Linked DNA regions of Caenorhabditis elegans. The protein of the gene in region 2 interacts with the protein of the main gene of each other region in a pairwise test. Each region holds a gene or a part of one and is shown on either strand. Other genes may lie near its edges.

The links. Proteins that work in one complex are often made in the same cells at the same time.
Region 1: the proteins of F20C5.6 (region 2) and phaf-1 interact in a two-hybrid assay, tested with the Caenorhabditis elegans proteins (2 studies listed by BioGRID).

The regions. Positions count from the first base shown.
Region 1 is NC_003279.8:8,286,284-8,290,039, forward strand, and holds the start of phaf-1 (PHAF1 protein T01G9.2), read right to left. Parts: upstream 1,842-3,756; 5' UTR 1,826-1,841; coding exon 1,766-1,825; intron 1,722-1,765; coding exon 1,581-1,721; intron 1,531-1,580; coding exon 1,403-1,530; intron 1,172-1,402; coding exon 997-1,171; intron 801-996; coding exon 697-800; intron 652-696; coding exon 539-651; intron 494-538; coding exon 420-493; intron 372-419; coding exon 310-371; intron 1-309. Other genes in the region: kin-10 (Casein kinase II subunit beta), read right to left, coding at 2,918-3,068, 3,601-3,756. UniProt on the Caenorhabditis elegans protein: May play a regulatory role in autophagic activity.
Region 2 is NC_003282.8:8,771,115-8,774,870, forward strand, and holds F20C5.6 (ELKS/RAB6-interacting/CAST family member 2), read right to left. Parts: upstream 2,093-3,756; 5' UTR 2,075-2,092; coding exon 1,537-2,074; intron 1,412-1,536; coding exon 1,217-1,411; intron 1,154-1,216; coding exon 840-1,153; 3' UTR 446-839; downstream 1-445.

The DNA.
Region 1 (3,756 bases), on a different chromosome or scaffold from region 2:
TTTTTTCAAAATTTATCCTTTTTAAATATTAGTTGGAAAGTTGTTAAATAAATTTCAGGCATTTTGAAAAAAAAGAACTTTTTTCACAATTTTTTAATTTATTCATTGGATATTGCTGAATATCAACAAAATGCTATATGAATTATTTTTAATTGATATAAAACGCTTACATTGAAACCCTTCAACTTTTTTTAAGAAAATTTTTCTTCAAAAATTGTTTAAATTTTCAGTGGAAAATTCAACATCTATTGAAAATAAATCTAAATTTGTGAGAAAAGAATTTGAATTTTCAAGAGAACGAGAACGTACTTCATCTTGTCATCGGACTTGTAGAAGACCTTTGTCGGGGCTCCAAGAATCGATTGCACATCCTAAAATTTAAATTTTTAGAACAAATTTTTTTGATTGAGAAAACCAACCGAAACAGAGTCTCCAAAATAGATTTGTCGTGTGTACGTGGATACATCATACTCTCCATCGACAATTCTTCCGTCTGCAAATATTCACTTTTTTTAATAATTTCAAAAAATTCCAGTACTTTGAGTATCAAATTGAATATCAATTCCAACAATATTCCCATTTTCCCAAATTGCTTCGACTTTTCTCGTCCGATTTTGACCACAATAACACGAGAATGGAGTATCCACGGATCTTCAAATTTTGAGAAATAAATAGAAATAAATAATAAATTCTCACTCTGGCTCAGATGGATTTGGTCCACGATAAATGGACATCTTGGTAAGTTTTGGTTGAGAGTTGGCATCATATTTCAGCGAACGAAGATTTCCACCAAATCCAGGCTGAAATTGAAGAATGTTTGAAATTTCGGTTTTTGGGAGATATAAAAAACTTTTTGGAAATTAAAGGTGAAGTAGCGGCTGTAGGTTAGAAAAAACTCTTTTAATTTTTTACTATATTCGGTATCGTATTTTTGATTCGAAAAAACCCACAGACGGTACTCCAACTTTAATACCCAAAAAGATCAAACTACAGTACCCTGACTTCCAAATTCGAATTTTCTCCTCCATATGGGAAACAGAAAGATAATCCCGGCCAACTTTGCACATAGATATTGTGCTTATCATCATATGATCCTGGATGTGTCGATCCAAAAAATTCGTTGACCCGATCCAACGTCGCCATGTTATTTGGATCAGAGAAGATTGTATCGCTGAAAATTTTTATGAAGAAATTGTATGACTATCTTGGCAATTGAAATTGATTTTTTTTCTTTGATAGTTTCACAATGACCCGAAACGACCGAATTCAACAGAGAGAATTTTCAATTTTCAGATTTTATGCAAGGCTGAAATTTTTCGAATTTTCAAAACGCCATAATTTGTTTTAAATTCAATAGTTTTAAACGAGCTTCTGTAGTTTTTTTTTTTTGATGGTATCATACTTATAAGTAAGTGTAATCATTGAAAGATTATCCACTTCAATTAGCTTGATAAGCTGTGAAAGGCCATCAAAATAGAGACGAATTCCTGTAGAACCGATATAGATGATGATATCCTGGTAGAATGGATCCTGAATTTAATTTAACTTTATTTAAAAGTATAATTAGTTAATTTCTATACCTTTTTACTGTACTTCAATTCGACTTTTGTAAGCATTCTTGGATGTTGCTGAATCATTGCAATACATTGATTGATTGGCATACCAAGCACAAATTCGAATTGTGAACTTTTTAGACCAACATCTGGTACAACCTTGAATTTCTTTGGAAAATATTTATTATTGATTTTTTGACTTTAAAACAAACCGTGAAGCTCAGATCTTCTTCAGTTGATGGTTTCTTTGTGACTTGCTGTTTTCCATTCATTTTCGATGATTCAAAGCTGTAAAAGCTTTTATTTAATTTTTGAAGAGTTGGAGAAAAAACAAAGAAGAATTTTTAAACTATGATTCACAAGAAAAATATATATTAAAATTGAGAACTGATATTTACTTGGTATATTCTTTTCTAAATTTTTTTTCCGCCAATAGTACGGTACCCGGTCTGGGCGCGACGATTGTTTTCTGAAAACAAATGGGTCTGCGCCTTTAAGAAGTACTGTTATTTTAAACGTTCATTGCTACTGAATTTTTATCGACTTTTCATACTTTTTCCCACGATTTGTAAAAATTTTGTGTCGTTTTCTTTTATTATTTTTTTTAACAAATACATTTTTACCGAAAAACACTGAAAATCGATAAAAATTTTGCAGCAACGATAGTTTGATATTACAGTACTCTATAAAGGTACACGTCCGTTTTTATTTTACAAAAAAGGCGTATCGAGACCGGGGTATCGCCTTTTCCTCGCAAAATTTCACGTTTATGCAATATAATTTAAAAATATATTGGAATTAATGTGAAAAGCTGTTCAAAAGTTTTTTCTTCAGGTAAAATATGGAGCGTTTTCAAAAATTGTAATTTTGAAATATTTCAAAATAAGCAGAAATCAATGTGCTAATCGTTAACCAAATCAACTGGAGATATTAAAACCGTTCAAATAGTAAATAAAAAAGAAAAGAAACACATGACGTCGATGGCAGAATCGAAGGCTGTGACTGAGAGACTGCAGTAGAGCGCACTTTCCCGCCCAGCTGTTTCCGCGTGACGAAGACAGGCACAAATAAATAACGTTGCACTTTTTACACAGAAAATTAGGAACACTCTTTTTGAGATGTATGGGATCTACCGTTTCATTCATTTCTTAAATTCGCATAATGTTGGAATAGAACAGATTTAGAAAAGAAGAGAAACACGCATGGAAGAACCGCCGGATTCTTGAGTTTTGTCGGAAAAGAAAATTTTGGGGAGAAGAAAAAACGAAACAATGAAGAAAATAAGGATGTTGTGTTGAGAGGGGGGACATTCTGAATGGAAACTGGAAAGAAGAAATCAAAACAAAAATAAGGAAGAAAGTGGCTCAGAGACCATAATTATTGAATTGTCCTCCAGATTGTTGCCCGGCTGGAGTCGTGTTGTTTTGTGCTGCGGCAACGTTATTCGCCGTATTTCCGCCGCTGTTTCCCTCCTGTCCTCCATAAGCAACAGGATGAATTTTGAAACCGTAGAGTCTGAAAATTTTGATATTTAAAAATTTACACATAACATAATTATTATTGTACTAAGTTCTGCTAAATTTTTAAAGTGGATAAAATATTATTGTTTGATCTTCTAATTTCTAAAATTATTTCGAATCTAATTTAGTACAGCCAACTTATTTCGGCAATAGAGTAAATCTTCTAATTTCAGTCTACCAAGTCAACTTTTTGAATTAAAAATGATTTTAGAAATGTGTCAAAATATTTTATTGATTCGAAATTGCAACTTATTCTTGTTGAAATATTTGAAAAAAGATCTCAAATAGAGCCTGAAAGTTGCCGAATGCCGAAAAAATAACCTTCAGACACTAGTCGTTTTGAATTTTCCAACATTATTAAGTTGTGTTTTCGAATCAAGCAAATATTTTACTTCATTTTTTATTCAAAAAGTTTAATTGGTATACTGAAATGAAAAGATTTACTCGATTGCCGAGATTTTAAAGATTTTTTAAATTAGAATTTCGGATTTTCAAATATTTAGCTTAATATATATCCTCTGACATACTTTGGAACGAATTGAGTGACTGGTCTGCGTGGACGCAGATCAGGATGAACAAAGAAGAGCATATGTGGGAATCCGGTGCCAAAATAGCTTCCATCAGTATGTTGATGACGTGATGATCGTGGAACGAAAACATCATTGCAACGTGGACAGTACAAT
Region 2 (3,756 bases):
GGCCAATGTTATTTGCTATTAGGGAAAATTAACATTTAAGGAGCAAAGGATTGCAAACAAAATGCGATAAGATATATGATTATAGTATTTTATCTTTTGTAAGTGTTGCCATAATTTCAGTAACGAAAAAAATAACAAGGCAATTTTAGATGTTAGGAAAATCGAATTTGTCTGACTAGCCAACGAATGTTCTCAATTGAAGTTATTGTTCTTTTTTAAGATGTTTTCATACAAATTAGTCAGTTTTCGAAGCTTCAGCCACACTTATCCGAATTGAGCAATTTCAAAACTATTTTTTGTAAAATAAAATACATCTCCGAAAATTTACATCGAGTTCCCAACAATACTGTATGGATAGAAAATACCTACCAATACTGCACATGAAACGCTCTGAAAATAATCGGAAAGGAAATGAGAACCTTTTAAATATAAAATGAGCACAATAAGTAATACTAACTTTATTGAGAAAGAACATAATTGTTATGAGAATAGTTTTTAAATGAGGTGAGAAACAGAATATCCCTGAGAATAAGTGAAGATACTTGAAAATTTGTGAAATAGTAATAAGTAAAATGTTTTCACATTAGTATAAACAATGACAGAGTCACGCAAAAGTACGGGAAACATATGAAGTTTATAATACAGTGCAGTACAGAAAAGGTACAAAGTTTACAAGAATACAATTGTTTTTTAAAAATAATTTTTTGTTGAAGGCTTAAGGTAATACGATTAAAGAGCTACTTTCTTCCAATACGAAGTTGAATTTAAAATTTAAAAGGAAAAAAGGAAAAAAATTAAAAAGCATATGAAAAATCGGGGCGCATTTTTAGTGCAAAAAATTAGATGGCATTTATTTTATCCCATCCATCTGAATCTTCACTGTGTGTGGATTTATTGTCGTCATCTTGATCGATCATTGTATCATCAGCTTCTCCTTCTTGATTGATAAGAAGACCTTGCAGTTTTTCCGAAAGTTCCGAAATCTTCAAATCCTTCTCTCTCAATGCATCATGCATCTTCTGAATTTCAGCGGATCGTTCGCTATTTTGAATAAGTTCCATCAGACACTCAATTTTGCTATCTTTTTCCATGATTTCTCTTTTATGATTTGCAATCTGTTCTTCTTTTGATTCACATTCTCTCTTTGAATTGGCTGAAATAAAAGAAAATGCTTACAGATGTGTGTAAAACCCCTAGAAAACTTTCACAAGCTTACCTGTCAATACTTCAAATTGCCCCAATAAGTTGTGCTTCCACTCTTCAGTTCGAAGTTTAAGATCTTCAACTGATGTATTAAGCGTGGCTTTTTCCTGCTGAGTGTTTGCAAGTTGCATCTCTAACGCCATGACGGTCGAGTTATGTTGATCCAAAATATGACTGATGTCTTGTCCCACATGTTTTTGGCGTTCTTCTGAAAATTATAGATGGTAATTTTTAATTAATACTTTAATATATAATAGAACAGCTCGTTTTTTCAATCAACTTCATCTGTTTTCTAACCAATGTTGGCCAACTTTCAGTAAAACAATAGCTTACCTTCAAGATCGGATTCCAATTTAGCAATTCTATCTTCCGCTCTTTTGGCACGTCTACACATCTTTCCTGTATTCATATCCGCTGAGCACAGTTCTTTTCTCAACGTACGAATCTTTGCCTTCTTTCTCTCAACATCACCATCGATCTGTTTACGAAGATTCGAAATTGTTTTGTTTTTTCCAAATATTTCTTCTGAATGAATATTTTCCATTTCTTCCTTCTGTTGAATCAACATGCGGCTCTCTTCCTTACACCTCTCAATTTCTTCTGATTGCTTTTTGAGTAACTCCTCCTGATTTTTGATAGTTGCCCGAAGCTCACTACCACATTCTCCAGGTTCCAAAAGTTGCTGCTCAAGTTGAATAATTCGTGCTTCACTCTCTCGAAAATCTTTTTGAAGAATCTCCGTATGTAGAGAGCATTGCTCAATAAGCTTATCTCTCATCACCAATTGTTCCAAAGTTTCCCATTGTTTCTTTTCCAATTGATCGATGTCGATTTTCGCTTGTGCCAATTCAGCTTTCAGGTTGTCCATCATACTTTCCAGTCCAAGTTACTAAAATATCAATTTAGACTCCATGTATTGAGGTAATAAAAAAGGTATTTGAAAAGGTGTAAAACCTTCCAAAAATCACAAGAAGTATTTGAAAAAAATGTAAAAATTTTATAACGACGAGGTTGAAAAAAACACTGAAAAATCAAGTAAAGCCCTGAGAGGAAATAGGTCGAAATGGAATTTTAGAATTATTGAGGAAAAGATTCAAGAATATGATATACAACTTACACGAAGAATTTACAATTTTGAAGAACAAAGGAAAATGAATAAAAATGCAAAATAGTTAATTTGAATATTAAAATAAATAGAATTTGACAGAAAAAATTCAGAAAATTGAAATTACGAATTAAAAAAGCTTAAGCATCGCTCATATGATCCCATCCATCTGATTCTTCACTTTTCAATGATCTACTGCACGAGCCCAAGTTAAACAAAGCCTGAAAATTCGGTTTTCCCACTTTGTCCAGGTCTTCAAAATAGAATTTCAAAACAACAAATCAACGAAAATTCGAGAAAAAAAATTAAAAACTCATTATGTATTAATTGAGAAAAAAAAGGAAAAACAAAAACGAAACAAGATGAAAATTAGATACCAGAGCTTGCTACTTACAAAATAAACAAAAATATTTACATACATGTTGCATCACTAATAAAATGAACTTAACGTATCAGTTAGAACATGGAAAAATGGAAATCAAATGTCATTCATCAGATCCCAACTATTAGATGCTTGACTCTTTGAAGATTATCCGTCAGAATCCCCATCGTATTCGAATTGCTGCAAATCCTCCACTTTTGTTTCTTTGTCCCGATTAATCAGAAGTCCTTGAAGTTGCTCGGTAAGTTTCGAAATTTGCTCATCTTTCTCTTTCAGAGCTTTTTGCATTTTCTGAATTTCTTCATTTTTCAGACAATTCTTCATGCTTGCGATAGGATACGAGGAAGAAGCTAAAACAATTTCTTCAGAGTTAATCAGATATTATTAAAACAAAAAAGCTCACCTTCCAACTCTTCTGAAGAAATAACTCTTCTCTTTTTAGTTCCACTAGAACTATGGGAGTTGGTTTCCATTGCATTATCTTTACTGCTCGCTTTTCCTCTATTTTCTGAGTGGTAGATTAATTCGATGTCAGGATCCCTCTGTTTCATGAATTGAGATGATAAACTTTGTGATTTTTCTGAAAATATAAAAACATACTTTTCTGTTCTTGCATTTTTCCGGTAAACATGTTCATAAAAATTTCTTACCATTTCGAGACTGTGCTTCTCTCAAGCTATTTTCTCTTCTCTCGAGCTCTTTTCTCAATCTTAAAATTTCTTGGTTCTCATGCTTTCAATATACTTTTCAAGCTTCAAAATTCTCTCATCTTTTTCATTCATCAGTATCTTATTCTCTGTTGTAAGCTTCTGGATCTTCCACGTTTCAGATTGTTTCTGAGCTTCAAGACTTTCCTTCAAAATGTCAATTTCACTATCTCTAGCAGGCGATGAACGAAGTTTCAAAATTTCTTTCTGAAGCATTGAACATAGTTCATTTTGATTTGGAAGTTGCTCCAGATAATTCAGCCGTTCATCTTTTTCTGCCAATTTTTTCTCGAGATCTTCGATTCGCTGAGTAAGCTTCAGATGATGCGCTTCCTTAAGTTTGAGCTGATCCTTTGCAT